3 linked regions of the Arabidopsis thaliana genome follow. The protein of the gene in region 2 interacts with the protein of the main gene of each other region in a pairwise test. Each region holds a gene or a part of one and is shown on either strand. Other genes may lie near its edges.

Region 1 (11,126 bases), 1.2 Mb from region 2:
AGGTGATCACTAGCAATGGTGTTATATCAAGGGATTTTCAGTCTATCAAACCATGCTTCTTCATTCATCCAACTATCTAAGGTCATATTTCACAAAACCAGGCTCGAACAGCTTCTCTATAACCCTAATAGACAGATTAATGGCAGTAGAATAACAAGAACTATAATGAACATTATAATCAAAACAGAAACGGAATCTAATGTGGAACTATTGAGACTTAATAAAAGTAGCTGAAAGGAATCTCAAACATACATTTTACTAATGACGAAAGCAAAAGTTAAGAACTTTGATACGATCTCTGATCTAAGTATATGGTCAATGCGCTCTTTCACTCTATTTAGCCATGCTTCTTCACAAAACAAAACTACAAAAACAGTTCTGTATAACGCTATAGACTATAGAGTATGGACTTTAGCTGATATTAACATTTCAGATAGCAATACACACAGAAACAACGACATCTACTTACCGAGTAGGTCATGTTCCTAATAGAAGGAGCCCATTCTTCAGCAATTCTTTTCTTCATAACATCAGGATCTGCCATTGGAGGCAACCTTAAATCATACCCAGCTTCTGCTTCTGAAGGCTGCATATTCATCACAAACCCCTGCAAAAGAAAAAACAAACACTCTTATTCTCTTGAACAACAACTCCACACCAAAACAAAAACTCATCAAACTCACAGTAGTAGTAGGAGTTCCAGCTTTAAGATAAACTGGATTCACAGAGATAACCTCCGAATACGCAGCTTTACCAGCTTTAACAAAATCAAACTGTGACTCTCTAAACCTAGAAATCAACTCAACACTCTTCATCAAATTCTCCATAGCTGAATTATCATAAAGCTTAGCGCCATGACCTGGAATCCCCTCAGCTTTAATAACAAAATGCCATGGAACTCGATCAGCGTAAAAAACCCTAAATTCATCGCCAGGATTAGCTTGTCCTTCATCCATAGCAAATCCCAAATTCAAATCCTTAAACTCCGATGACGCCGCGAATTTCATCATCCCGTCGAATCCACCGATCTCTTCTTCAGGAACGTAAGAGATATGAATCGTACGGAGAGGTGAGAAGCCTCTCGATTTCAAGTTTCTGATTGATTCTAGATATTGAACTCCGATACACTTGTCGTCTTGCGCTCCTCGAGCGTAGATGTGGCCGTCGATGGTTTTGTGAGCTGAGAACGGTGGATATGTCCATTTCTCTGATTCGGCGGGGACTGAATCGAGATGAGAGTTGAAGAGAATTGATGGGAGGTTAGGGTTTGAGCCTAGCCATGTGATGAGAAGAATTGGTTTGCCAGAGATGAATTCGATTGTTTTGGTAGTGAGACCGATTGATTGAGCTTGGTTAATGAGGAAGGAGATTGGTGCGGTGTAGTTAGGGTTTGGATGAGCTGTGTTGAATCTTAAGTATTGTTGGAATCGTGTGATTGGTGTGTCTTCTTCGGAGGAGGAGGATTGGAGTGAGAAGATTATGGAGAAGATGATAAGAGTCCAGAGAAGAGGAGATATCGCCATGGAAGGAAGTTGAAAGGTTTTTTTTTCTGTGACACCAAAGTTCAAATTTTTTTCTGAAAGTTTTAATTTGTAATATAAATGTATTTAAAATGAATTAAAACATGAAGTAACATGTTTGAGGAATGAATATTTTTTTAATTACAGTCTAACGGAAAAAACTAATTTTTATTTGAATTTTTAATATCCAATTATTTTGGTTAAAAGAAAAATACACGAAATAATAAAATTATGTAATTTAAAATTTAAAAAATTAAATATTGTTATTTTTAATTAAAAAACAAAAAAAAAGCATTTAATTATTTGGGTATTAAATTGCACAGTTTTATTATTTCGTGTATTTTTTTAATCAAAAATAATTAGATATTAAATATTCAAATAAAAATTAGTTGAGTTTTTTTTAGGTTTTTTCCCTTTTAAAAAATATTTACAAGGATTTTTTGAAAGATTTAAAAGGGGTTTGAAAGTATTTACATGTGTATTGAAAGACTTTATAATGATTTTAATAGATTTTAAAATGATTTACAAGTGTTTTTAACAACTTTACAAAGCTTTTAAAATGCTTTGAAAAAACTATACAAGGACTTTTAAGAGTTTTTTCAAAAATTACAAAAAATTTTAAATACAAGTTTTGGCGGGAATTTATTTGGCCGGAAAAAAAAAATTGGCGGAAGTAATTTTCAACCTCTCTTCACCAAAAGCCAATTTTTTAGCTAGGTAGATTGCCTGAAGTGTTATAAGGGATGAATGGCTCACCTCATATCTTGCGCTAGGAGGTCCAACAGGGCTTGACACATTAACTTCACAATATTGAACTATTTCTAAACAATATAATCATCCAATATTGCCTAAAAGATACCATCAAGTCCATCTGATAAACTTAGGCCCAAAGTAAAGAAATCCCAATCCAGAAAACTATTACTCTTTGAGGAAATAAGCTGAAAAAATCCAATGCAGAGACTAAGAGACACGTGTGAGGCTATTAACCAATGTTGAGACACGTGGGTAGATGAATCAAATGTCGACGCCGGTCATCGTCGATGTAGAAAGCGACCTAAGGAACCTTCAAAACTACCGGAAACCGCTAGAGCTTTTAAACAAAAGAGGGTTAAGGAATTACAATTCTAAATGTAAAAATTGAAACGCAAAAGAGTCCAATCACATCGAATATAAAGAAATCGAGGGAAAAAGCATAAATCTAAACCGAAAAACAATCCGGCCAAAAATAAAAGAGACACCGAAGATAAGCGGTGAAACTCTAGATCTTAGCTAGCCCACCATTGCTATAGAAGCCACCGAAATCTAGACGCAAGCCGACCACCACCGTAAAGAGAAATGGGCAGTGTCAGAACGAGGGCCAGTCTTACGTTGTCAAAAAGATAAAATGTCACCGGACAAAAGTCTAACATATACATTATAGACGTTGCGGCTCTTTTCACAAGAACGATTATGTTAGTTTCCATATACATTACATGCAAATAAGTTATAATTTTCGGCCGCGGACCGCTGACGCAACGATAACGAAAAGAATAGGGCAATATCAAACTGCAGTTTATACCACATAATATTTACATCAAATTATAACTTCGACTGCAATTCAACCTTGAAAACACCTTTTACCAGTCGGAGCCATAGCTTACAAAGTCTTAAGTTCATTACAACCATCGACCAAAAGGCTTACAAAGTCCAAAGTTCTTAAGTTCCTTAGCTAATTCTCACACAAGAAACAAAAAAAGAAGACTAATAAGAACCAGAAACATAGATGAGAAACATATATCCTACGATAAATAACAAAAGAGGCATTACATCTCCATTAAACCTAAACAATCCAAGTCCTTCTTCTTAGATAGTTTCAGCAATCACAGAAGCCACCTCCTTCAAAACATCTATCTTCTGCGACAACAACTCAAGTTCCTTAGCCTCCACCATCTTCATCTTCTCTTCAATCCTCTTCTTAGTCTCCTTAGACACCTTACTCCATTTCCACTTCACAATACACTCATCCACACCAAGCCTCGCAACAACCCGAACCAAAAACGACTTCTCAAACCAATTCGACGTCTCCGAATCTCCTCCAAGAACCACCACTTCCTTACCATCAAGTCCCCAAATAGACTTAGCCAATCCCAAACATTTCTTATCATGATCCAAGTCTAAACCTTTCTTCTTCCTTACACCAAAATACTTCTTCTTTAAACCTCTAATCTTGTCACCGAATTGGATCTTACTAACATCAAAGCTTATGTATCTCTTAGCAATATCAAAAAACCCATTCATATCATCATGAGCACTTGTACCTGTCTCAGCTTTGAAATCAATCATACCTTGTAACAGAGAGATCTCATCTTCTTTAGTCCATAAACTCTGAAATTTTTTGTTATCGTCATCTCCTGAAACTTTCTTAGCTCTTTTGATGTCCTTTGAGCTAGTTCCTTCACTAGCTCGCTTCGTCCCTGATGAATCAGTACCTTCTTTCTTCTTCTGACTGGTTAAGACGATTGGCTTATCTGAGTCGGAATTTGTCTCAGATCCAGAATCGAGAGTTGGAGCCTCGGTGGAAGGAGAATTTAGGGTTTGAGTGGAGAGATCTTTGAGTTCGTTTTCTTCTTCAGAAGAAGAAGAATTGGAGATATGTTCTTTTTCATCTTCTCCTGATGAAATCTCTTCGTCGACGTCTTCGCTTGAAGAAGCGGTTGGTGGATCTTCAAGAGGGTTGAGAAGTTTCTTGTTCATCGGAATTTTCGAATTCTCGGTGTGATGAAGAACAGAGAGAGTGAGAGAGAACAGAGAAGTTACGTAATAACCCTAGATGGGAAGAAGGTGAAGAACAGAACAACAGTTGGGTTTAAGAGTTTGGGCTTTTGTGTATTAAAGTCAGGCCCAACCAAATTTTGTTTGCTAATCTATAACTCTTTTTTTTTTTTTTTTGGGTAAAATTGCTATCTATAACTTCTTCTTCTTTAATTTTGTCTTGAAATTGTCTTCTTATGGTTCAGTTAATTTAATAAAATAACAAACTAAAAACATGTGTAAGAAAACAGGAAGAAGAAAAAATTATTATTGCATGTGTTATGTGTATATATATATACTCCCTCTGTTCATTTTTGTTCGATTGTTTAGGAAAAACACATATATTAAGGTAATCATATTAAAGTTGATTTTAAATGTTTTATTTTTTGTATTTTATAATTTCTTATAACTTTAAACTAATGATTTTCAATTATTTTTATTAAAGTTTATAATTCATCAATAATAACTAATAAATATTGCATTGAAAATCTAAAAATCAACCTTTTGAAACAAATTTTCCTAGAAAATAAAAGAAAACTGAAGGGAGTATATATCAAAAACGATATAAAAGTTTTTCACATTCAATAATTTATGTAAATGAATTACTAACTTAGTGAAGATAATGTCATGATTTTTCAAGATACATGATAACAATTCAAGAAATCTTTTTTTTCCTCGGACCCCATATTTAAAGAAATGAAGAAAGAAAAGTGAAGATGTTTGGCTAATGTTGGTGAGTATGATGAAGCCTCAAGAGTAACAAAGAAAGAGAAGAAGATGGGAACAAACACATGGAACTCCACTCTCACTTTCAAATATTTGTGTTGAGCCCTGAAAGATTACACTCATGCAAGTAGGCATCTATCCACTCTCTCCCATAATTGAAACTTGCGTCACCATTCACTTTCTCATTTTGTATATTTATTTTGACCAAATCATATCCTTGTCTCACAATTGTTTATTCAACTTAAGATCTATAATTATCTTACTTTACTAGCTAAATTGTTCATTTTCTTGTTCATATTCACAACACCAAACAAATGATACTAAACAAGTATCTTACTTTACTAGCTAAATTGTTCATTTTCTTAGACAAAAAAAAAACATGAGTTATTAACCTCGGTTTTTAGTTTTTGCACTTTCGTTTTCACTTAGATCTAGTACATATTTCTATCTTAAATGAACATATACAACTCTTAACATCTTAACCAAGATTATTTTGCTTATCAAAAATGTAAATGCTAAACGTAAATGTTTGCTTTTGGTGTGTGTGCGTTTGCACTTTAATATATTTTTGGAAAGGTTAAAAATAGTTTCTATGTCAAACAAAGCATTCACATGTAAATGGTGCAAAAAAACAAAAAAAAAAAATCATGAAACAATTGAGGCGTATGTTGTATCTCTAATTCGAAGATGGGTGTGGTTAAAAAAAAACGAGGGCCAAATATTATATAATTTTTTATTCTCTGTTTTACGTTTTAATATATCTTATTTAAGTAAATACTCTTAGCTACAATATTTAAGAACACATCATTTATAATTTAAAATTTTTAGTTGAACATTTTCATGTAAAACTAAAGTTTGGTTCGCAAAAAAAAAAAAAATCTTTCTCTAATTTAAATTCGTTCTATTTTTACGATGATTTTGACCTCGATTTTGTTATTAGCGTTAAGCAATCATCAAAACAAATCTTGAATCCATACATTTTTATCCATTAAATTAGTAGTAACAAAGATTTGATCACATTAATATGTCCAAGCTAAAGGTCATTAGAAATGGATACCAATTCTTGACGAAAACGAAAATTTCCTCATTCTTCACACGCGTATATTGATAAGCCAAACATCATGTGAATAAAGACTAATAGAAATCAACTAAGAGAAACAATAAAGTTTCACTGACGTAATTAAAACAAGATAAACCGAGAATAATAATTTTTATGAAAAGTAGACAAAGAAAGTAAGAAACAAGATGGTTCCCAAATTTGGGCATCCCACTTACCTCTGTTGGAATCCTAATTCGAGAGCACCACCTTCTCTAACTTCTCTTATTTCCCCCACTCAGCTTCTCCTTCTACATAATTCTCCATTGCCCCTCTTTTTAAAAATTTTACGTTTCCTTCTACTAAAAACTTTCTAAGGGAATAAAGCTAAATATTTTGTTTTCAATTTATCTAAATAGTTGGAACATTCTTTGAGCAAATACAAGAGTGTGTTAGATACTATATAACTATAAAATTCAGTATTGGTATTGTTAGGATTTGATGAAGTTAAGACTTAAGAGTCCCACACTCCTACATATCAAGATATGAAATGATTATGAATCTTTAATTAAAATTACAAACGTAAAATTGATAATGTCTTTACTCATTTTACCTATAATAGACCATGTTAGTTCAGTAGCTATATGAACTATCTACGTGTGTCAAATATGATGTTATACATGTCATTCTATATTATATGTATTCGTACGTTGTCTAACCCCATTCACTCCTTAAAAAGCAAATGTATAGTGTGGAATTAAGGAACGAACAACAAAACTTCCACTCTAATCGCATTTTGTTAATCCGTATATTTGTTTCTTTATTCAGAAAGAATTTTAGTTGACATTGAGGGAACAAAACAGAAAAAAAAAAACAATCAAATCTTCTATAAGAATATGAATAAGAATAATTGCTGACAAAAAATTTGTGAAATATCACATCTTACATATAGCAACCATCGTATCGTATCCTTAGGTCACATGTATCTAAAACTAGACATATCGAAGCTGAATATCTTTATCACCAGATCATGTTCCCTCAGTGTATATATATGCCACATTTATAAAAGAAAAAAGGTTTTACGTTTATAAATAACCCTTTTAATTATCCATAATCTTTTCTTTTCGTTTTTTGTTCACATGCAATATCCTTTTTTTATTGTTGAATTTTTGCTTGATATAGATCCTGTTTATTTTACTTCAATCTTTTTAGTCACTTGCGAATACACACACAAACACTGAATTCTATATTTAACCAGTATTTTCGGTTAAAATTACATTTTTCAAAGAAACTTTCTATCGACTTTCATTGGTTTTTTACTTAACCAAAATAAAACCGTAAATTATGCAAAAGACTAAAATGTTCTTTTGAAAATAAGCCTTGAACGACCGATATAGTTCGTAGTGACGATAACTCCACTGAATCTTTTAAACGACAACGTAGGAGTCGCGTTGTCTTTTCCTCTCTCAGAGAATCACATATCACCCAAAGTCCCCAAGAGAAGCCTCTGGTGCCGACATAGAGTTAACATAACTTTCTTATCAATCTTGGTTCTTCTTTTTTTTTCCTCAATAATCAACATTGATATATACAAACCTGATTACATAAACGTTCAACAGTTTCTTATATGATCGTACATGTAGTTAGCAGAATCGTCGTATATATCACTACGAATTCAAGCCCATATAATGTGCATCACGTATAATGTTACTTAGTGATTTTTTTAATATTTCTATATATATATATATATATATATATATATATAATTGTATCAGCATTTTTCTTGTAGAATTGATTATAATATCAAATCTCTAAATTTATTAAAGAATTTTCTCTATAAAAAAATTTCAACAACAATTTTATTCAGATTTAAAATTTGATGATATTGCAGCAACGGTAGTAACACAAATGTTTCTACCAAATTGTTTAAATAAATTATGAAATTAGAAGGGAGCATATCTGAAAATCTAACAAATGTTGTTCGTCCGAATCATATCTAGTAAGCAAAAAAGTAATACATCTATGAATAGTTGATTATGTGACTAAAACTAAAACCAAAAGATCAAAGTGACTAAAATAAATAAATGAAACACAAATGTTTTACTGAATTATTTACACAAATTATGAAATTATAAGGGAGCATATATGCAAATCTAATGAATTTTTGTCGTCGTATTCGTATCTAATATCTTATGAATAATTTAAGTGACTAAAACTAAACCCAAAAGATCAAAGTGACTCAAAGAAATAAATTAAAAAATCATCCAAGGGAACAATGATTAAACCCCTTTATCATTTAGACAGTATGGAATCCACTCCTCGCACCACCACCGAACGAACTCTTCCATTTTGTCTTTTGCTTAACCTAAAAGAAAAAAAATTATAGTTGCCAAATCAATAATATCTAACTATGAATATATCTAACAAAATTAATTTCTTTTTTTTTGCAGTTAGCTAGCCTTCTAAAGACATTTTGGATCACATATACACGTTTTCTCCCGAATATAAAAGGATAATTTTTGATTATTGGTTATTTATGTCAATTCAAATACTTTCTTTAAATGGTTAAAAAGAGATTTTAGGAAAATAAAAGTTGGAATAACAAACCAAAGTGAATGTGAGAATGAAAAGGAAATTAATTGCGTCACGGAGAAGCACTAAGACTATAAAGCATTTGGTGGTCAATGTGTCAAAACCCCACTTCAATATTAAACATATTTAAAAGGGCAAAATAACAACAAAACACATTTCCATAAATTCAAATAAAATTTGGAAAACAAATTTAAAATTGAAAATTAAATGGCATTGTATTATTGTTTAGCAAGAGATCCACTTGAGTTAAACACTTCCCCTCTCTCTCTTTCTTCTCCCTCTTTAATTTAAATTTTTATTCTATTTCGTAACCATTCATTTATAGAAGAAGAGTCTATCTAATTCTTAAACATGCATGACTATACATATGATAAATCTAAGTTGAATTGGAGACACATTAATCAATGATTAACTACTTTAACGTCTAAACCTCTTTTTTTGTATGTAGGCAACATTATTCATCTATATCATTTAGTTCTAGCAAAACATTAGGGATTCTAATTCACACGAGGTAGATGTATGGTCGTGTACTTGTATTTAACAAACAAATCATAATAGTATAAGATTATAAAGGGTTGGTATAATTTTGTCTTCAATGAATAGGGGAATCTCCTTTTATCTATTTTATTCTAAAAAAACTATTGAACGTTACGAATTGGACATGCATTAATACGCATTTTGCGTCTAAAGATGTGATATTTAATCTAGTCGGATTAAGACAACTAATTATAGTACACATATCAAAATCCTAATTGCTTTAGGGTTTGACTTACGCGGCTTACCTTTGTGTAGAGATATTTATGATTGTTGTACCTATTTATTAACTTGAAAGGAAATATACGAGACCGTTAGGATTAGGAAAATTAATACTAGTACCTAGCAAACTTCTAATTTCTTGGCACCTGACTTAGGCATCATACTTTTGTGTGTGTTTATACGTAATGTTAATGTCATGTCTATAAACCTGAAAAAAATACGTATACGATAATACGAATACGAAATACTTTCTTGTTTTCTTTTCCAATTAGGTCATTTTCTTTTCATTTTAACCACGAGTGATTCCATAAATTTTCGTGGCCGGCGGAAAAAGTTGCATGTCCACGAATGAAAGTAAAACACATCCAAAGTAAATTTGTAGTCAGTCGGTAGCTAACTAACCACAAATAGATTTGTAGTCATTGTGTTGCTAACTAGTCACAAATTTTGCTCTGACCTATCTATCATTCAATGATATATAATGTCATATTTAAAGTTGTGATAAATTTACGGCCATCCATGATTCTACAAAAAAAAGTATTTTCCAAAAATTCCAAATTTTAACGAGTTATTATGTAGAAATTATTTGGCCCTTGAACCATATATATATACATATATTCATTTGGCCTTCAAAGCCCCATAAATCTTAGAACCAGCTCTTTAACTACAAAATATTGTTTCCCGATCTTCCGCCAAAGTCATAGACAAGTCTGGTTTCCACCACAATCGACCCATGATGATGTGCATGTGATAGTAAACCAAATATTCATGTAATTTATAAAAACTCGATGATCTGCAAAATATGCAACCATTCTTCGAGTTTTGCTTATAGCATTAGTTATTTTTATTTGGTATGATTTAAATTACACGCTTATGTTAGAAAACATCCTGACTCCGTAAAGAACTGAGAAAATGAGAAGTAACTTGTTTCTGAAAAAAAAGATCAGAAATTAATTATATATTAATGTGGAGAGAGTTACAAATATATTCTTGTACTATATTGTAAAAAGTTACAAATGTGTATGCACACACAATCACCTTACCACCTACTACTTGATATCATACAAAACTATGTGATATATCAACTTTAATATAATGCGAACACGTGTTACGCATTGAAATAAAAGAATCACACCATGTATGTATACAAGATTTGCAATTTTGATTATATTTCTCTACTTTGAAATCGTCTAAAGGGAAAAGAAAAAGCTAATAACAAATTCCAAAATGAATTCTTATATAAATGATATGCTGACATGCATATGTAAAAGTAAATAACTATGTAAGACATATTTTTCTGTTAACTTATTCATATCTCTAAAGTGTAAACACTAGTTCATTAAAATATTCCAAAAGATACGTAGACGTATTATTGAGTTAACAAAATAATGAGTGTATTTTTTTTATTCTAACTTTTGCTCGACTATAAAAAGGAGTCATCTCCCATTAGGTTTTGCCTGCCTCAAACAAATAGAGCTTATCTCATCACTCACCAAACAACTCTCATCAATATAAAGAGAAGAGAGTGGTAGAGTTATATATTACACACATAAACTTAGATATAGTAGTGTTATATTCTTGATTAAGTAATAAAGATGAAAGGTGGAAGCATGGAGAAAATTAAGCCGATATTGGCGATAATTTCACTGCAATTTGGGTATGCAGGCATGTACATCATCACCATGGTCTCGTTCAAACATGGCATG
Region 2 (11,196 bases):
TATCCTTGTGCATCAGCTCCACATAGCCCGGTATTTGCAGAAAAACAACCTTTTTAGGCTGGTTCTTGACATCCCCTTTCAACAGTGAAAGGATTGGTTCAGTAGGAGACCAAGACATGCCCACAACATCATCAAAATTCACAGCCGCGCCTTCTTGCGTAGCAGTCTGAAAGTCTTAGTCTCATAAACAGATACAGTGTTTTTGATAAGTGTGGCAAAGTATTTATCATCTTTTCCCCCAGCCCATCTAAGGAAAAAAAGAGAGGTTATGTCAATGAATGTATTAAGAATTCTATTCAAAGGAAATTCAAGAAAGTACCTAATTATAGGCCATGAGTTGTCAACAACATGACCATCTACTCCAGCCATTATTCTCCCAGTTCTCACATCAAAGATTCTTAACCAGGGTTCCTGCAATTTGGATGCAAATAAGAATACTTTGCATCAAAATGAGATTGGAAGTAGAGAAGCAACGATGATCTATGGAATCTCTCGTCTGTCACCAGTTTGGCACTTGAAAAGTTTTTACCATTCTTAACCTCTTGTAAGAATTTTACATTATTGAATCTTTACTTCTCTTCTTATCATATTTTTGGACTTGGTTACTTTTTTTCCCTGGAATAAGAGATCAGGTTGGCCTGTGCTTCTACGTTTTTGTTATGTATTTTGCAAACAAATTGCTCAATTGGTTTCATCATGCCTATTTTCAGTTACAAGAGATCTTCTCTGATAAGTATAAACTTGAGACCCCATTATCTCACCTCTTAGATTATAAAACTTCAATTTTGGCAGCTACATAGTAACATGCTACGCTACTTTTAGTATTTTTTGGTGAAATTTTCTAGTCAACACTTGGTCTATGACTCTTTAATATGTTTTGTTTGTTGTATCTATGTATACTTCTATTCAACTTTCTCTCTACTGTCTGAATATGAAATCCTCCTATAGGCCTTTGTTTCAAGAAATATATTGAGAAGAAAATCATAGATTTGAAATGGAAAAACAGATTCCTCTGCTGTACATTATTATTTGCCGCAGTTTCGCTATTCGATTTGAGAATGTACACAAGTTTTCAGTACAATATATGTCAGTTTTAATACCAACTGTATTGTTTTCAGTCAGTGCATTGTCGACGGAGCTGGATGTTGCTGCGGTAATGGCGGTACCGGATAAGCCGGTACAGCATAAGGAGCAACTCCAAGATGATGGTGATGGTGATGATGATGAGTTCCCATTGGAGGTGGAAGCATCACAGGTGTTCCAACAGCTGAACCCATATGATCAGGTGGTGCGATGATCGGTTGTCCCACTGGCGCACCACCATACATCCCTAATCCAGCCATTGTTGGGGGATGATGTTGTTGTGGTTGCGGTTGTGGCTGTGGTTGTGGCTGAGCTGGTCTATGTTTAACCACTTGCGGTTGTTGTCCTCCTCCTGTAACCGCAGGAGCTTGATTGTTCACAGTGGTGATGTCGTGAATGCTAGACCGCCTTCTATCTCGGTTCATCGAGTTAAGCCTGATGAAGTATTTTTGAGCATGACTTGCAACTTGTGTTGGAGTTCTTGAGATCACAAAGTTCCTTGAAATGCTTCTCCAATCTCCTTTCCCAAACTTGTCCAAACCCAAAAGAAACAACCTTCCAAACAAAACAGAGTATTCAATAAAGGTAAAGAATCTTCCAAATCTTTTTTCACTCTTTTAAGTCTAAATAATATCAATGGATAGATGATGGAGATGAAGGAGAAGAAGAAGAAACCGATGCTCTTCTTCAGTCCATGGAATCCCTTTTCTTCTCTCTTGCTCAGCTCTCGAGCCACCACTTCTTCCTCCATTGGAGCTACTTATCCCGGAGGTGCCAGGATTTGGTTTCTTCTCAGATGATCCAGAGGAATGAGAGTCTCTGTTGGCAGGAGAAGTAGCTGCTGCTGCTGCTTCATCTACGATGAGACCTTTGCGGTGATGATAACGAGGTAAAGGAACTTGACCATTCTCGATTGCTTTGACATCTTCTAAAAGGATTTGGTAATGTTTCTTTACTTCTTCTAAGGCTTTGCTTGGTACCATTGACGACATTTTGTTCCATTGATCCTCTGTTATCTCTTCCTCTACACAATGCAACGCAATTGCGTTCTCGAATGCTTTCTCTTCTTCTCTGCTCCATGTTGCCACCACACTCTCCATTCGATTGCTTCAATCTTTTCTTCTCTGTTTCTCTCTCTCTCTCTCTTCTCTTTGGTTTAATCGTGTGGTGGACATGATAGTGTTTTTGAAACGCATATGTGAATGGGTCAGATTCTTTACCTTTTGGAGTTTTGTGAAACTTTTTTTTTTGTTTGGTATTAAGTTGAGGTGCGCATGATAAGAATGGACATTTGTATATGCGCATGATAAGAATGGACATTTGTATATGCGCATGATAGTATAGAGGACAGTGCATATGCGCAGGATAAGTAAGAGGTTGATTGGGACTTTATCTTATTCACAAGGATCAATCAGTTGGGTTTGTTTTCTATTGTGTCACTCATAAGGAAAGAGTACGCATAGGATAAGATTCTTGTAGTTGACGATTACTCTTCACTTTTCTTTGAAATTTGATCCTTATTCATTCTTTAGAGACTTTGGTCATTTCGATTTATATTACTCGAATACAATGCAAAAGATTAGTGTAGCTTTACCTTTTGATATTTATAAAACATTTATTTCAAAAAATTTATATTTTTTTTTTGAATTTTGTTAAGACAAATGCAGTTTGAAACAATTGATCACATTTTAAAACTTTATATTAGTGAGCATCATTATAATTAATAGAGAATGTAAATAATAGAGTTTTAAAATGTAAAAGAATGTAAAACAATACCGTCGCCGAGTTTACTGAATTCAGACATCGCGTTTTATAATCAGTCGTAAAGATAAATAGCGACCAAAAATTATAATCGCAGGTCGCTATATCCAGCGACTTCCATACGAACAACATTTGGTCGCGGTCGCCAACGACTAACAAACGAACATCACATAAATAGTATAAATGCAAAATTCGGAAAAACAATAAACTAATCGAGATTTGAAAAAGAATTTTATCAAGATCAAAATATTTTCTTTTTCCAAGATCTACATACTTGTTAATAGAACATGCATGAAAACAAACTCGATTAAAGAAATTTATTTAACATAGTATCGAATACATAAAATGATAAATCTTCATTCAACAACCCATCTATAAATTTCTAGAGCTAGAAAAACGTTTTTTTTTTTTTTTTTACGTCATTTCTCATCTCTCTTTTAAATAATAGGTGGAAATTAATAGATGGGTTGTTGAATGAAGATTTTCTTCCAAATAAGCTCGTATATATAATGGTCATCTGATCCAGAATTTGTCTTTGGAAGGTAATGGGCCTTTCGCGATAAGGAGCTTGACTGTTAGGCTTCCCTGCGTATGTCACCCCACCCAAGTCACTAAGGTACGATCTTTTTTTTTTTTTCTTTTTTTTTTTGTTAAAGTTCTTACCATCTTTCACTTCAATAATAAGTTTTTTTTGAATTGTGAGATCTCACACCATATATATATGGACACTTAAAAGTCTAAATGAATCGGATACTTTACTTTCTATAAGACAACAACAAAAAAGTGTAAATGAATCAAAATATGTGAAAAAATCAACTTAACGGGTACTTAATTCATTGAAAAATTGCTGGCTAGCTTTTTGTAGACAACCTTTTATATTTCCAGTTGTTAATATTTGGGCTTTTGTTGGAGACGTTTCTTGAATATTTTAGCTACTTTCTATGTCTTGAGGAATTTGAACTTTCTCAAGGTGTGTTATAGCCTTTATTGGGGCTGGGTAAAATATTCGTTCGATCCGCTTCGATTCGGTATTCGATTTGATTTGATTCAAAAAATCCGAATATCCGTAAGATTTTGGACCAAAGCAAATATGAAAATGTAGTATTCGTAAAAACCGAATCAAATAGCAAATATTGTCTTTTTTAAAATCGAATATCCGCTTTGATCCGTATCTTTTGATATATATTAGAATATATAGTTATATCTATATGTAGATATCATAAATAGTTTGTGTATTGTTGCTACCTTATGTTTTTATGTTAAGATGTTTGTTTTATCATTTTTTTTATGTTGTGTTTTGATCAATGACATCAAAATTAAACTATCGGATTTTAGTTTTTGGAATTAGTTTGATAACATTTTTGTTGACCGGTAATAACAACAAAGGTTATATTTGGTATTTATAACTTATTTTGAAAGTATGTTAAATAAAAATTTTGAATATCTGATATGCTTATATAGTTTACATATTTTTTTAATATTTATACGTATCAAAGTAGATATCCGCAAATATCACAAAAAAATTCGGATATTCAAAATTCCGGATATCCGGAAAGTTTCGAATCAAAGCAAATCATAAAATCAAGTATTCGATTAAAACGAATCAAATAACAAATATCACAATTTTTCCGGATATTTGCTTCGTGTCCAGGCCTATCCGCCTTTATAGGCCCATAGACAGTATGTGTTAAATTATAATCCAATATTGTACGGATGATTATACTATATAGTTCCGAATATATATCATTGTGTTACAGCTGGGAATGAATCAAATTAACGTAATGTACGGAAGAAGAACTATAGAAGCTTTGTTTTTTGTGGGCTTCAAATTTCAATATGTCAATTATGAGAATAATCAAGTAAATATTGTAAATACATACTCTAATAAGAAAATAAGGCCTAAAGTTTAGGATATGAGAATGTTAGAGTGCAATTTAAGAAAATGTCCGGTGCAACGCGACATTTGCGTGTTTTTCACATCCATGCATGCGTACTATATGTATCCCCGCAATCTTAGTCAAATATCAAATATTCAAACGAGAGATTTCATCTACCGCTGATTCATTTGCTTCGCGTATATCACTATATGGATTTGATAATTACTAGTATATATATTGTTACTATTGAGATTATTACAAACGAACAAAGAAAAACCATTTTTGCCAACAACCAAAAAAGGACAAAGAAAATAAAACAAGTAGTATTCTACTGACATATATGCAATAGATATTTAACTCTCTAATTTCTTAAACATCATTCAATTAATATTTGATGAAATGAAATCTTAAATAATATAAACCGAATATCAAAGTCATTAACTAACAAAAAGAAAGGAAAAAAAGAAGGAATATCAGAGTCATCATCAAGTCAACTACCACCGTGCATTATGGCGACGATATCAAAACGTCGGACTACTCAAACTTTATTTAGACAGCTCAGTTAATTCGAATCTAATTTGTCCTATTTACTAAGTAGCACAAAAACTAATTTTGAGCATTTCTCGGCTTATTTCGAACCCGTATATCGAAACAATCTTTATTTTATGTAACAAATAAGTATAGTATAAATTGAAGATGTAAGGTTAAAAAATGTGCCCAACCTCCAATAACAGTAGGTCATACCAAATACATTCAAAACTTTGACTATTTGGCTTTTTTTTTTAAAAATGGTACCACTCCACCTCCATTCTTCCTTGAACGTAAAGTAACCTTTTTTACTCTCTTCTTTCCCTCATTTTCATACCTTTTTCACAAATCCAATACTCAAACCCCATACATATGTGCCAAATATGAAATTAGTACGTATTACTCTATATCATAATTTGAAATTTTCATTAAACTACTATGTACTTTATTAATTATTCCCACTTATATAAAACTCCGCTCAAGCTGTAATTTCTTCGAGATTAACAAAAAAGAAACACCTTTTTAATCATAAAATCTCAAACCTTTTTTCTCTAATCATTTCTCTTTATCTCTTTCTTGCTCTCTCTCTCTCTCTCTCTCTCTGGCTCCATGACCTCTCTTGCTTCTTCACCTTCATCAAACTCTTCTCTAGCTACAAGGCCATGACGAAACAACCTAAGCCGTGTAGTTTCCTCTTCCACATCTCTCTACTCTCTGCGTTGTTTGTTTTCCTTCTCATTTCTTTTGCTTTTACGACTTCTTACAAGCTTAAATCCGGCATTAATAGTTTAGGCCATAAGAGAATTCTAGCAAGTAATTTTGATTTTACTCCGTTTCTCAAGAATAAAGATCGCACTCAACGGCAACGTCAAAGTCCAAGCCTGACTGTAAAAGAAAACGGTTTCTGGTACAATGATGAGGAACGGGTGGTACCTAGCGGTCCAAACCCTTTGCATCACTAGCTAAAAGGTTTTTGACTTGTTTCAATAGATTTTTGTTGCGTTTTTGGATTAATATTTTTGTTACGACAACATACATGAGCATGGATATATCATGATTAAATATTGTGTAAGTGTATTAAATTGACGTTACCATCATATTGTTGATGGTTTCTTGATTTGAAGGGTTCATTAATATCTATTAATAGCTCCGAATTTTGTATATATTTATAGATATAGATCTCTCCATTATCCTATACAGTACTTGTTATGATGTTTACTGAACATAAATTATTTTTCTCTTATGTTGAGAAAAAGTACATTGTTCATGTTAATAAGATAAGGTACGTGGCGCTAATTGGTTATTTTGAATTAATCTGTTTGGTTAAATGTAGGCATGTAAATTAGAACCAAAGTTTGTATATCGGCCCAGTCCACTCTTAAAAAATAACGGATTCGACCTTAAAAATATAAGTCCAAAAAAAATCAGGTTTTTCAGGCTAATCCCTTTCGGACTTAAGGATTTTTGGGGCTTAATCTGACGGGATTCGAAGCGGTCCGAATAACCTTTAATTTTTTTTGTTAATATTTTCGTTTAATTGAGAGAATTGCTTATTTTTATTTTTTGCAATAGAGTTGAAAACTCTAAATCTAGTTATGTAACTGTGTCTTATTATAAACCTAAGAAACAAATCTTGGCTCTACTCCCAAGTTGAAGTCTTCTGCTTTTATATTTTATTTGGTATGAGTTTAAACAATTTATTTAAATTATTTATTTGATTTGAAATTTTTTGTTTAAATCAATTGGCTTTTGTATTTATTTAGATTTTGATTGACTCATTCTATACAAATTATTTTTTCAAGCGATATTATAAATTATAAGTTTTTTTCTCGAAAAAGCCTTAAAACCTCGGAAAACCTTGTGGTCATGTTAGAGTTGGACCGGACTTTAAACTATAGGTTCAGAAGTTCTACGGGTCAGACAGGACTATCCTGATTCACATGTTTAGTTAACTTTAGCGTATTCGAATAAAGAAAAAACACACACACAAGACATTTTCTATATAAAAGCTCATTTTTAAATATATATATATATATATATTATTGTGAAATTGAAAATTAGCTTATTCCATGAAAATTTACTTTTCTGATATTACTTGTCAATGTTCTTACTTAATCACAAAAGTCTATATATACATTAACTTGCATATTACAAACAGAAGAAGAAAATAAGACACTTTATCGAATTGATTCAAAAATCGTATAGTTGGTTTTTTTTTTCCTGAAATCGTATAGTTGGTATTGACAATTAATCTGCAACAAAAACAATTATCCCCAAAAAATATGGACCTAATCCCACTTCCAAATGTCAACAAAAGAGATGGTGTTTGTTCACTAGCCAATTTATTAAACTATATATATTATGAATACATGAGATCTATGGAATCCGTCATCATATATGAAGTTCGTTTACATATATATCTGTTTATATCAGATCTAGTGTTAGTTTTTACTGCGAAGTTCAGAGCCGAAGTTCCTACTCTTTGTGGACCAAGACAGAACTTAATAAAGAAATATCTTTTTGGAGAACATTGTCCCCAAAAAAAAAGAAAAATTGAACTAGAAGTCCAGGTTCAGCCTCCATTTAGAAGGACCTAAAAATTCACCATTAGGGTATATATAAACTAAAGAAAAAAAGCTTTTGGTTTTGATAAGTACTGTATTTGCTATCGGTAATAACTATATACTAGGATTTCACCCACGGTTTACCGCGAGCAATAGGTTTATAAATATAAATTTTTTAATCAAACATAACTAAATAATATTTGGAAGTTTTTTTGTTGTTATTTAGTGATAAGAGGAATGTGTTTAAATTTTTTTTAGTTGTTATTTACTTATTTTTGTTAAACGGTTTAGATTGAAGGGAATTAATTTTATTGAACGGTTTAGATTGAATCGGATCATATAAAGTTTAGAAGATTGTTAAGACCAAATTACCCTTAATGATTTTGAATAACAAAGAACAAAATCTAAAATTGAAATCAAAATTGAAGCCAAATTAGACAAAATTTCAATTCGTATTTCCTTTATTAAAAGGATAAATTTGGTTCCAAGAAAAGACAGTATAATTCACGCATTTGACGTTTCTTTTCATGTCACTTCAGGCTTTTCTTAATGTGTGGAACATGGGCTCAATTGATTAAGATGATTGGCCCTCTATGACCTTTTTTAATATAGGTCAAATAGAGCCCACACCATCAATACTTTTTACAAAATGAATCAGAGATTATAAATTAACGGTTGTGTAAAATTACATGAGATAGAAATAAATAAGTATGCAATGCCATAGATATGAATCATGAGTTCTATGGCATTGCATACGATTATTAACTACATCTTAAACTTAAAATTATTTGATGCTATCGGTTCAACTTTTTAACTTTTTGGGGACAATGGACTTCTAGTTCAACTTTTTTTTATGAGGCTGAACTTGGACTTCTAGTTCAACTTTTGCTATCGGTTAAATAATTTGGCACACTTTTTAAAAATATCATATGATGCTTAAATTGTTCTTTAATTATATCTTAAATTTAAAATATCATATGATGTTTTCGTTGTTCTGTTAATTATCGGCACAGCATCATTTAAACAAAAAAAATTGTTACAAATTAATGGATAAAACAAAATATTTACTTATATATGTCGTGAACATGGGACCAACCTGATAAACCATGGTGAACAATCTCCACTTTTTCTTCTTTGTAAATTCATGATTTCACGTTTCTTGTATCGTTTTTGTATTTATAAAGGAAAATCTAAAAGTCATCTTGTGTGTTCATACTTTTTTGTATCCCATAATTGCTCTTCATACTTTTACTAAAAAGAGTTATGAGTGAAAGATGTCCAAGGATGTGTTCCAAGTTGCTTCAAGTTTTGCCACACAATAATGAACCTTTTGGGATCACATAAAGTTACTAAGGGATATAAATAAATGCAATTTAGAGCACACAAACTATTAGAAAAAAATAGTTGACTTGCTACGATACGACCAGTCAATTAACCCCCTAAATGGCCTTTCGTATATCAATTAGAAAAAAATATTGTCATCTACAATTTGTTACGTACTCACTATCAAATTTGAATCGGCGTAATTACACGATGTCATCACTAGTAGAAAGTATTACTGTTACACATTCCAAATTCTAATACTAATACTTGGCTAAAAGAGTTTATATCAAGATATAATACTTTCTTGATTGAATAAATATGATATAAAAGTTACAATTTCCAACAAAAATACGTCCAAGTAAAATTTGATTTCTAACTTCAACGGCCAAAAACAATTACTACTGAATCACATCAGTTGATTTGTAATTTTGTATTTATAATTTGATTGGCGAAATAGCTATAAAGATGATTATTTTTCTTCGTAACACTCAAAATTAGAATTGTCATGTTAAATGTTAGTACATCCATGGATATAGTTTACAAAAAAAAAAAAAATTGGATAAAGTTTACATACTCGTTGTTGAAGTATATATATATATATTTTTTTGGGTGCAAATATCAAGTTCAAAATTAAAATACCAAAATGTTAAAAGAATGACGAACCGATAAAGACTGAGTCAATTCTTCGAATAATGAAATACAAAAGTCAACATACGAGGGACCAGCTCCAGCACCGCCGTATTCAAAGATCAAGTCGCTATAAAAGGCCAATCAACGCGACTCGACGACCCAAATAATTACATAATAAAAAAGTAGTGTGTAAAATTAAACTACAATAAAGAATTTCTGAAAAACGTTGTATATTCTTTTCCAAAAACATACATTTTCATCGAATTCAAACAGCAATTAGCGAAACCTCAACACTATTATTATATAAATCACGAGACAATAAATCTTGATAAATAATCTGAAATTTGTTTCACGATCGATGAGAAATGGAAAACTATATATCGTTTTGTCAATATAAATCATGCATGGCCATCAGGTGCCGTTTACGTTCCTCTTACCAATCAGCATGTATATCATTGATTCTTTTTGTCTGGTTATGTACGTTAATCCAATCACCAAAAGAAACAAAGAGATCAATTGCTCAAAATACCAAAAACCTTTTAGTATTTCTTAGTTTGTTCATTGATATTCAACGCATACAAATTTACATATATAATATGCTACTGATCTAAAGAAAAATGGTAAGAAATTAACTTACCATTTATCCAATCATTTTTTTAATTCCTAGCATCAAGACCCACTCCCTTTTTCTGTAATGAGATTTTAAAGGATCTGTAATTTATACTTTAATATTTATGCCAAGATCGTTTAAGCATAACCCACGCATGCTCTTTGAAGTTTCAAATATTCAACATAAATCTAATGAAAACGAAACTTTCAAATTTATTAACAATATTCAAAAACTCATTGTACACATATGACGATATAACAAGTATATGAAATCAACGCAAAGACGACCGATTCCACCGGTAACCTAACACCCTTTTCTTAAATGTCATCAATATGTCTATACTTATATATAACATTAACACACACATTTCGGACACTAGAGATTACATCGGTTATAATTCTAGTTCTTGAGTTTGACTTGTTAAACCCCTAAAAATAGTACCTATAAGAGGCTTCTTTTTCAACTTCTCATTCTTCATTTCCGGCGAAGTTATGGACCGATCAACGCCGGAACATAACTCATCTCCCTCACACAAGCGTCTAAGCGTGAGCTTTCTCGTCTCAATGATGGTTCTCTGCGCCAGGCATGCGAATCGGCTCTCGAAGAAACTAAAGCTGAAGTCAAAGAAGCGAACTTGCAGCGGCGGAGAGGGTGGAGGAGAAAGATTCCGATGGAATATGATAAGCTCGTCGATGAGTTCTCCTCGGCCAAAAGAGTTGTTCACGACTTTAAGCAACAAGGCGATGACCATGGTCCGCCGGAAAAACCCGCCGGAGGAAAAAGCAACCGCCATGGAGGAGGAGCATGGCCTTTGGCAGAG
Region 3 (11,196 bases), on a different chromosome or scaffold from region 2:
AGTTTTTTTATTAATAAATATGTTATGGTACATTTCATATCAATCGAAACTTAAGACTTCTCCATTGTAATTGAATTTAAACTTAGATTCATTGGGCCTAGCAACATTATTGAGTTTGGTTAGCTATTTGCTACTCATCTCACTTGTCTTAACTTTTTATTGTTTGCATCCTTGCATATAAAATGATAGAACACGAATATCCATTGCGCCCTCTCGGACTGCTTTAGAAGACTATAACCCAATTCCCACTACTGTAATCAGGGCACCGTGATGACACAATTACATAATCTCAAAATCCTCACCCGCATTCGTTTGGAGCTGTGTACACCTGACAGACATTCACACTCTATCTCCTAAAGAAGTTAAGAAATAGGTTGTCCTTGAATAGGTAGAAACTGAAGACAATGTAGTGAGATTCAAACTAACCAAATGATCCCAATATCTACAATGCAAAGAAACTGCTAGTATCATGAGCTCAATGGAAGCAAAAACACTACCCATGGCTACAACCTCAAACTTTCGACATTGGGAATATGGATGCAAATGAAAGATCAAGATCATGGACCTTCATAGGACAGCCACGTGTTGCTACTTCCGTTGACATGTGCATAGGACTTAGGTTGAACTAATTAATGTCTAGGCCTGCTTCTTCATCGTTTTGCATTTGATTCTCTAGGCTTAGTTCGGCCACAATATGTTTTACATATCTTCATGACTTTACATTTTTATGCCTTGCTAATGTGTTTTTGTCACTTAGTTTTAAACGCTACATACCTTATATGCTGCATAAATCCTTTATGGTATCTTTCGAGGAAGGAGGCTGGGGATCAATCTTTGTGGGAATACCCTTCTATTGTTGATGGTGTCAAGATAACTCCGTTTGTTCTCATCCGTATCATTTACCTTGAAGCAGGTATAAATTCATCGGAATTTACTTTTAGAGGATTCATGATTGTAATAGTTGCTAGTTACATCTCAAGCCCTACTAGCACGCAAAACTCTTGAAACTGTGCATAGTCTAGTAGTATATTGAGATATAATTAATGGTTATGGACATTTTACGGTTTGAATAATAAGTGACAATCTATGTCAAATGTGTTTTAAGTGTACTTATAAGAAGATAATAAAAGCCTCTATGACTATGAGTTGACGAATTTTCAACACGATTTGAGTTTGAATAATTTTGGCGACCGACCATTCGAGAGACATGGGCACTATAAGGCATATAGGCCAAAGCAAGGACGTTAAAAACAGTTTACGAGTGGTCGTTAATTGGTTAATGTGTACGATAGATAGTTGCATATTTTCACATACTATATTAATAAAACATTACTTATAGGAAAACGACGAGAGTTCCAATAATTGTGGAGTAGCCGACAAAAAAATCCCGGGAGACACGTTTCAGACATTTTAAAGAATCATTGCTGGCGACGAAACGTGCCTTCGTGGCACTTGTTTACTTTCCTATTGGCTATTTGGTTATATTCATTGCACCTCTTCTACATTTTCTCTAAGAAAACATTATATTATCATATTAAGAAATAAATACTAAAAACATCATGCTGGTATTGTTTTTCTTTGATTTGAAATAGGTTTTATACCCTATAATATATAGTTGTACTATATACCGTATCTCATTTGAACTTAAAATCAAATATGATATTTAGATAACTAGTTGACATTTCTAAAGGATAACCAAAATAAAATAAAACGAAAGTATTACCTGTTTCATTACCCACACGTTGACCGTTATACAAACAGTTATAGATAATATATCATCATAATTAAAGGTCAACATTTCATGATTTATTAAGTAGTTTATATAACATTTTGCAATGAGAAACCCGACAATTTATAGTATGGCGCCAAGATTACGAAATCTCAAATACCTATCTTTTAATGGGAGAGTTTTAAAATCGAAAAACGAATATTTGATGAGAGTTTTATTTTATTTTTTGAGTCGTGCATTACAAATATCACTGTGAAAAATGTTGATCGATTTACATAAGAATCATAATCGTCCATTGGATATATAGACAATGTGATTTAGAAGGTTATATATTTGTTTGTCTAAAGAAAAAATAATATCTTCAATTATATGACACAGTTTACAATTCAGCATAGAAAACAATACAATAAGCTACAAAGGATTGTTTTAAATAGATTTTAAAACACCATATTATCATCTTTAAATTTTGGCTTCTTGAGATGGTCTGGATAAATAGAAAATTATTAAAATAAAAAACATTGTTAACTACTAATTTTATATTAAAAATACATTTATGGAATGCTTAAAGGAAAATGGGGAAATATATATAGACAGTAATACTAGAAACCAATCTGTTGGTCAAATATTTAGAGCCAGTATCCAAAGGGATTGAATGTATATTAGTATATATAAGATATCATAAATTCATAGAGAATACAAAATTCACAATTCTTAATACAAAATACTTACCTATATGAAACTTTTCAATTTTAATGCTATGAGCTTGTGCAATTTAAAAGGCTCTTATATCTAGCATATACTAATATAATGCAAAAACAAAAATGGTAAACTAAGTATTTTTATTCTATTCTAAAGAATGTCAAATTGTATGCTTTTAAATGTTTAAACAAAAATCATGGAAATTTGGTATTTTGTAAGAAATTGAAAGCGCCACAATTCTGAGCTATTTTAAGGAATTCTTCAATAATTTTGTTTTTTTAGCATTATCATATATGTATCAGAATTAATTAGTGAGTACTGGCAACATTTTTTCCCTTTTCTTTCATACTCTGCCAGCTTTTGTATTTAAAACTATGATATTTTTTTCTATATCATATTATGTGATTTGTTTACATTTTCAAAGCAAAATGTAATAATTTCTATATATTTTATGACAATGTGCATTTTTTACTTTATTTTTATTGGTTGGACTGTGATTAGATAAATCATAAAATATCTTTTGATTTAGTAAAATAAAGAAAATCATTAATTTCTTAATATGGAAAAATTTAAACGTTTTTATTTTGATACAAAGAGAGTAATTATTTTGTAAGTCTTTGGGCATGATAAGTTTTTAGTATTCAGGACTTGGTAGAACTACAAGAATCTCATTTAAATTCCATTGTAAAAACTAATTGATAAAACTAATACAAGTAAATTAGTATAAATAGGTTGTATTTTGTTTTTTTTAAAGTATAAATAGATCGTACGGAACTACTTACTGTTTTACTATTTGTTTATCTAGACCGATATATTTAGATACAGCTCCCCATGAAATTAAATGCATTAACAAATTTTAAAATTCAAACATACGCACCAATTAATTTAAAGCTATTATTTAAATATTTTATAAAAAAAAAATTACATGCTACGATTTTATACCATTAAAATAGTAAATTTACGTGCCTTAGAAAATGTCTATATTTGGTACTTGATTCCTATTTGTTTTCAAAAATACTCGCTTTATGTTTAGGGGTTATATTTTTCCCGCTTAAGCATACATCTACATTTGATATTTTTCTTATAGTAGACATGATTATATTTTTTATATTGATATTAATAATTTTAGGCTATCAAACAAAAAATAATTTAGGCAGAAATAACCATTTTATGGGCATGTTAATTTTTCTTTTTTTTAAAAGAAGTGACTATATATTTAAATAAAGAATCTGAACTAGAAATGGAATGAAACTCAAAGGAGATAAATAAGAAATTTTTACCATATCCTTACACAAAGAAATGTGTCGTTTAGCATGGTTTTTACAGGCCTATTATCACCACCCTTTCGCAGTCTCTTCTTATTTAATGCTCATAATATATATAGATACACAAACATACATACATACATGTCTCTATCTCTTCTCTCTCTCTGAAGGTCCCAATAGCTTCTTTGGTTTGAATTTGGTGGCCGAAGCAACACAAAGGTCTCAAGAGTTTTCTGGGTATATTCTCTTCTTCCTTCGATTTCTCTTTATTTTTGTTTTTGTTTTGTTTTGCTTTTACGTATATTGTCTGCTTGCAAATATTGTTTTTTGACTTGTTGGGTTTGGTCTATCTGATATTTTGTCCGATGGGTTCCATTTTCACTTTTGCAAGATCAAGTATTTCAGTAGTAATACGGACTGGATTGTTTTGTCGTTATATGCTTTGATAAGAATCAAAAGAAAGAAAAAGATCGATGCTTTTACTGTATAATCATTTGATGATAAACCATTAATCTTGTTTGTGATTTTCTTTTACCTTCTCTAAATATTTCTCCTATATTATGTACTTAATCTCTTTGGTAGTAGTTTTCCTATAGTATTTATTCAATCCCTTGGGAGTAATAACTAATGGAATTTGGATCTCTAAATCTTTGTGTTATTCATATGATGAATCTTATTTCACAAGTTAGATCTCTCGATCTTTCACTAAAAGTCTCTGTTTTTTTCTTTTGTGTTATGTTATTGCTAGAGAGTTTTAATTTAGATTTTGATAAATACGGCATTACTAAATGACGATGATTATGCAATTTTATTCTTAAAGTGAATCATAGTTGATGACATTATTTGCAGATTCTATGGATATGTATAACAACAATATAGGGATGTTCCGGAGTTTAGTTTGTAGCTCGGCGCCTCCATTTACAGAGGGACATATGTGTTCTGATTCGCATACGGCTTTGTGCGATGATCTGAGTAGTGATGAGGAAATGGAAATAGAGGAGCTTGAGAAGAAGATCTGGAGAGACAAGCAGCGTTTAAAGCGGCTCAAGGAAATGGCGAAGAACGGTCTAGGAACAAGATTGTTGTTGAAGCAGCAACATGATGATTTTCCAGAGCACTCTAGTAAGAGAACCATGTACAAGGCACAAGATGGGATCTTGAAGTACATGTCGAAGACAATGGAGCGATATAAAGCTCAAGGTTTTGTTTATGGGATTGTGTTAGAGAATGGGAAAACGGTAGCGGGATCTTCTGATAATCTCCGTGAATGGTGGAAAGACAAAGTGAGGTTTGATAGGAACGGCCCAGCTGCTATAATCAAGCACCAAAGGGATATCAATCTTTCTGATGGAAGTGATTCAGGGTCTGAGGTTGGGGATTCTACCGCACAGAAGTTGCTTGAGCTTCAAGATACTACTCTTGGAGCTCTGTTATCGGCTCTGTTTCCTCACTGCAACCCTCCTCAGAGGCGGTTTCCGTTGGAGAAAGGCGTGACACCGCCATGGTGGCCAACGGGGAAAGAAGATTGGTGGGATCAACTGTCTTTACCCGTTGATTTTCGAGGTGTTCCGCCACCTTACAAGAAGCCTCATGATCTCAAGAAGCTGTGGAAAATTGGTGTTTTGATTGGTGTAATCAGACATATGGCTTCTGACATTAGCAACATACCCAATCTCGTGAGACGGTCTAGAAGTTTGCAGGAGAAAATGACGTCAAGAGAAGGCGCTTTATGGCTCGCTGCTCTTTACCGAGAAAAGGCTATTGTTGATCAAATAGCCATGTCTAGAGAAAACAACAACACTTCTAACTTTCTTGTTCCTGCAACCGGTGGAGACCCAGATGTTTTGTTTCCTGAATCTACAGACTATGATGTTGAACTGATTGGTGGCACTCATCGGACCAATCAGCAGTATCCTGAATTTGAAAACAACTACAACTGTGTTTACAAGAGAAAGTTTGAAGAAGATTTTGGGATGCCAATGCATCCAACACTCCTAACATGTGAGAACAGTCTCTGTCCTTATAGCCAACCACATATGGGATTTCTTGACAGGAACTTAAGAGAGAATCACCAAATGACTTGTCCTTATAAAGTCACTTCCTTCTACCAACCAACTAAACCCTATGGTATGACGGGTTTAATGGTTCCTTGTCCGGATTATAACGGGATGCAGCAGCAGGTTCAGAGCTTTCAAGACCAGTTTAATCATCCCAACGATCTCTACAGACCAAAAGCTCCACAAAGAGGCAACGATGACTTGGTTGAGGATTTGAATCCTTCTCCTTCGACGCTGAATCAGAATCTTGGTTTAGTCTTACCTACTGACTTCAATGGAGGTGAGGAAACAGTAGGAACAGAGAACAATCTGCATAATCAAGGGCAAGAGTTGCCCACATCTTGGATTCAGTAAAGAAAGCTTCAGAGTTTTCTTTTTATGTTTTCTAGTCTTTATAGCTTTGTCTCTTGCTTATTCTCTCATTAAACACAGTTTTTGATCTCTCCATTTCATAGCCCATGTAGCAATGGAGAAGATTAGGTTTCATAATAAGTTAATAACCAAATTCAAAGTAATTCATTATGTGATTTGAAGAGCCTCTCTTTTTGACAAAAGAACAGTAGAAAATGCTTTATTTGTTTAGACTTTAGAGGTGTGTATTTGTGTTCGCCTTGGGCTTCAAGGAAGAAGGCGTTTGTAGACATTTTTAATATTAAATAATTTAAACTTTGTTGGTATGATAATATTTTTATTTATGTCTTTTTATTATGTCTTTTTATAGGGAATTGTTTTCTATAAATAACAGATTTTTTATGTGTTAAATTAATTTTGTGCCTTTAAAAGAGATTAATGGTTAAAAGATGTATTTCTATATAAATCTCAAATTGAAAAATCAAATAAACTAAGTTTGACGATATGCTATTTTAAAGTTAATATGAATAATTTCAGAAATATTTAAATGATATTTCGCATATTAAATTCATAAAATAAAACTATGTGAAGACCTTACTATATAAAACTATACCTTTTTCGGCAAATCAAATACTTATATTATAAAGAGTTTACAAGAAATATAAATATTTCCAATACAACCGTTGATACAAATAAAGAAAATCGAAACAATTGATTATAAAAGAAAAAAATTCAATGTATTGCTATAATTCACTATAATGATCATATTTACTTTTTTGAATCTAATGTTAAATTATATTCAAAAAAAAAATGTTCGTTGTACAATTTAGTGGTTCGTGAGTTTGAAAATAAATTTTAAAAAGATCTAAAAGAGTAAAAAAAAAAACGCTTGTAAAAGAGCAGCTTGGTTTGGTGACCTCAGGAGCTTAAACTCTAGCAAGGATCCATGCTTGATACGCTTTGTCGTACCGTCTATCTCCTCTTGTTCGAATGGTGGAAATATGAATACAAATTTGTTTATAAATCCATTTTGTGATAAGAGCCCCCGGATGTGGTTCCTTTTTGTGCCTTCTTCCATTCCTCTCCTTTCAAATTGTATAGACAGTGGTTTGTAGAGCATAGCGAGACAGATAGCTCTCCGCTCTACTTTGCTTTGGTTCGATACATAATCCAAGACTTGAGCCCAGTCGGTTCTGTACTGATTTTGAAGATGCCCTTTGTTATTGCCTCCCATATCGTCTCCCATATAATGATCACATCACTCATCTACAAATTTGTATTTATTCAAATGATCAAATCCTTACCGGTTTTTTCTTACCACTATTCCATTCCATGCTAGGATTGGCTGCATCCTCTCATTTCAGTCAAGTTAAGCTCTTTTGTCTATTACTTTATTTCATTCATTTTCTTCTTCAATATTTTTTTTTTTTTTTTTTTTTTTCTTCTTCAATTTTTTTTCTTGGCAAAAATGTTTTACATTGACCAATTTTTACATTCCGTATATTCTATTAAAACTTTCCATTCAAGGTTCCTCCAATTTCTTTCTCCATCTGTACTAATGGAAAATTTAATAGATAATCAACAAAATAATATATACTCATTAAATAATTGTTATTAAAAGAATCTCCAAAATGATATTTGGACGATATTCATGCAATCACGTCCTAATCTCCAAATATGCACTTTCTTTATCTTATAATAAAATGATTTACTCCAAATCCTTACTGTCACCAAATCAAAACCTTCATTTCATCTGCTTCGCATTATTTCTCTGATTCAAGAAAAATGACGGTCGAGAAACCACAAGAAATGACCGGCGATACAAACTCCGACGGATTCCTAACTAACAAAGACGTTCACAGAATAAAGCATCCATCGCTAGATACCAACGATAGTTCCTCCAGCCGATACTCCGTCGATTCTCAGAAATCAAGAATAGGACCACCGCCTGGGACTTACGTCATCAAACTCCCTAAGGATCAGATCTACCGTGTTCCTCCACCGGAAAATGCTCACCGTTACGAGTATCTCTCTCGCCGGAAAACAAACAAATCGTGTTGCCGGCGATGTTTATGCTATTCCCTCTCTGCTTTACTCATCATTATCGTCCTCGCAGCGATTGCCTTCGGATTCTTCTACCTCGTTTACCAGCCGCATAAGCCACAGTTCTCCGTGAGTGGAGTCTCCGTCACCGGAATCAACCTGACGTCATCTTCTCCGTTTTCTCCGGTGATCAGAATCAAGTTGCGATCTCAGAACGTTAAAGGTAAACTCGGTTTGATATACGAGAAAGGAAATGAGGCTGACGTGTTTTTTAACGGAACCAAACTTGGGAACGGCGAGTTCACGGCGTTTAAGCAGCCGGCGGGTAATGTAACGGTGATCGTGACGGTGTTAAAGGGATCGAGTGTTAAGTTAAAGAGCTCGTCGCGTAAAGAGTTAACGGAATCGCAGAAGAAAGGAAAAGTGCCGTTTGGTCTCAGAATTAAAGCGCCGGTTAAGTTTAAGGTTGGCTCCGTTACAACGTGGACGATGACCATTACGGTGGATTGCAAAATAACAGTGGATAAGTTAACGGCGTCAGCAACTGTGAAGACGGAAAATTGCGAAACGGGCTTGAGCCTGTTGTAAAATTTGAGCTAGTTTTGTTTATGCCTTGATGGGCTTTGTTCGAATTATGTTATTTTTAGTTTGTTTGATTCAATATATATTTTTGAATTAAAATTGAAATTTGCTCTGTTCAAATTGGAAGTTTGAATTTTAGTTTTACATTTGGAAAAGAGAAACATATTGACTGAAATATTTTGAAATGACTAAAATTAGTAGAAAATCTAGGTGAAATTAGATTCTTAATAAGAAAAAAATCATAAAACTCGGCATTAATGCATTTCAAGTCAATTGGATATCTTAACATTTGTTGAAATATTTTAAGATATCCTACCATTCTTAAATAAAAAATTTTAAATTAAAATTTTACATTTATAAGTTCATTTGAATTTTAGTTAAATGCACAAAGGACAAAATCACATTTTAGTATAAATTCTCGGAATTAAAATTTAAATATATTGTAGACTTTAACCGAGGAGTTTAAATATATTTTAACACTCCATGACTCCATTAATGATCCACAAGAGAAAGCATCAGATCATACCAAACTTCTAGTGATGTTTGGACATAGAACGGCCATCAAAATATACATCTAAGCCCTAAAACCGGAGTTCTTAAACGGTTTTTTACCTCGAGTGCCCAACGCTACGGGTTACTCTTCTCGTATTAGCACCACTAGTTGAAGCTAAAGAAGCTTGAGAAGAACCATTTTCAGTTGAGTCTCGCTGTTGTCTTCTTCTTTTGGCTTTTGGAGCTGTTGCTTGAGTCTCGCTTTCCTCTTCATCATTCATTGCTTCTTCAGCAGCTTCTGTTTTTGTAATTTTACTCAAGGGCCATGGCTTCCCGCAACCAGAGCAACGTTTATCATCCTACAATTTCAATGTGATCAGAATGTAAAATACTATTGAAGTCAAACTCATATACCATTATTGAGGAAAATCTAAAGAATATGTGTGTAGTGTGTACCCTTTGAGATAACAATTTTTTGAGGCAGTACTTGTGTATCCGGACAGGGCAACCTTCGGTTGGACACAAATCTGCCTGAAAAGTTGGATACGAGTGTCAGAAAACAAAGCATCAGATATTGAATCAGTAGCGAATAAGTTTATCATCACAATGTGAGTTCTAATCCAATCAGGTTTTTTCAGAATGCAGACCTTTACTCCAGCTTCATTGCAGACCTCACAGGAAGGAACATCATTGTTTCTGAACCAACTGCGAAGGTCAAGAAGAGATCTTATACCAAGTCCAATGTTTCTCTCTCTTGTGCGGCACAGCCACTTGTCCCTTACAAGTTCATCGAGAGTTTTTTCCTTTTGTGTCATTGAAAAGTTCTTGAAAGCAGGAGGGACTTGCTGTTGACTGCTGCTGGCTTCACTTGATATCTGAGATATTAACACAAGATCTGTCAACCGAAACAAAGAGAATACATTTATACAGTCCATAGCAATAATAGCTTTAAAATTCATTAATAGTCTTCACCACACTGATAGATGAGAATATCTGAGACATTTGAGATTCGTTTATTCATATTGATTCAACAATCATAAACGGGGATAAAACACTTCATACAAAAAACACAACTCAGAGTGCATGCAATTTTATCCACAAGCGCACAAGCGACAAAGTTGATTATCGTTTGAGATCATATCTCATACAGAACAGAATACTATACTTTCAAGCGACTCTGTAAGGTAGAACCAGTATTGAAGTCACCATGATCAGTTAATTGAACAATGGATATGGATGGATTCATTTAGTCAATAAATGAAGAGGTAAATATTAGATAGACATAAGTCAGAGACTATGACTGACCTGATTCTCCAATCGAATATTAAGAGCATCAAAGCTCGATATGCAACCTTGAGCAGCTTCATCCTGTGCAATTGCTTCTATCTGCCAGAAGTTAAAGTCATCAATGTCACAGAAAAGTAGCACAGATATCCATCCACTGAGTGCACACATAGCAAGAAAAGGGAATGACAAAGGAGAAATTTATATGTTATATAAACTTGTGGCAAAGAAGAGTGAAATCCAGATAATGATAACTCGTACAAATGAATAGAACTTGAGATATTTGATCAACAACAGAAGAAAAGCCAGAGAGAAAAAGAGTCCAAGAGAGTGACTTACAATGCCTTTAAAAAATGCAATCTGGGGAACAGAATATTTAGTCCCGAGTTTGGATTGATCATCAGCCACATTGTTAACGACTCCATAACAAACTTGGCCATCATACTGATCTCTACAAGCCTTCAACTCAAAGTGAACATATGAGAGTTCCTTGTTTATCTCAAGAAGGTACTTGTCAAATATTTTTTTAACAGTTACTGCAACCAAAAAAACAAACGAACAATTTCATCAATATAATGTGGTTCCTTTAACAACATTCAACATCAAGGTACCCAGTAATTCAATTCACCCTTAGCATCAGGATACAAGTCTACAATAAACCTTTCAATCAGCAGCATATGCAATAACTAAACCA

The links.
Region 1: the proteins of AT1G49010 (region 2) and AT1G44810 interact in a two-hybrid assay, tested with the Arabidopsis thaliana proteins (one large-scale study listed by BioGRID).
Region 3: the proteins of AT1G49010 (region 2) and EIL2 interact in a two-hybrid assay, tested with the Arabidopsis thaliana proteins (one large-scale study listed by BioGRID).

What each region holds. Positions count from the first base shown.
Region 1 is NC_003070.9:16,916,748-16,927,873, reverse strand, and holds AT1G44810 (DNA-binding storekeeper protein-related transcriptional regulator), read right to left. Parts: upstream 4,435-11,126; 5' UTR 4,254-4,434; coding exon 3,363-4,253; 3' UTR 3,053-3,362; downstream 1-3,052. Other genes in the region: AT1G44820 (Peptidase M20/M25/M40 family protein), read right to left, coding at 470-607, 684-1,523; SIAR1 (nodulin MtN21 /EamA-like transporter family protein), read left to right, coding at 11,016-11,126.
Region 2 is NC_003070.9:18,123,701-18,134,896, reverse strand, and holds AT1G49010 (Duplicated homeodomain-like superfamily protein), read right to left. Parts: upstream 2,353-11,196; 5' UTR 2,184-2,352; coding exon 1,759-2,183; intron 1,639-1,758; coding exon 1,119-1,638; 3' UTR 880-1,118; downstream 1-879. Other genes in the region: AT1G49015 (DPP6 N-terminal domain-like protein), read right to left, coding at 1-166, 196-247, 320-369; CLE11 (CLAVATA3/ESR-RELATED 11), read left to right, coding at 5,912-6,211; AT1G49000 (uncharacterized protein), read left to right, coding at 10,868-11,196.
Region 3 is NC_003076.8:7,178,082-7,189,277, forward strand, and holds EIL2 (ETHYLENE-INSENSITIVE3-like 2), read left to right. Parts: upstream 1-4,507; 5' UTR 4,508-4,526; coding exon 4,527-6,104; 3' UTR 6,105-6,261; downstream 6,262-11,196. Other genes in the region: AT5G21125 (uncharacterized protein), read right to left, coding at 6,967-7,347; AT5G21130 (Late embryogenesis abundant (LEA) hydroxyproline-rich glycoprotein family), read left to right, coding at 7,887-8,732; emb1379 (embryo defective 1379), read right to left, coding at 9,335-9,577, 9,675-9,749, 9,866-10,093, 10,524-10,604, 10,842-11,038. UniProt on the Arabidopsis thaliana protein: Probable transcription factor acting as a positive regulator in the ethylene response pathway. Could bind the primary ethylene response element present in the ETHYLENE-RESPONSE-FACTOR1 promoter.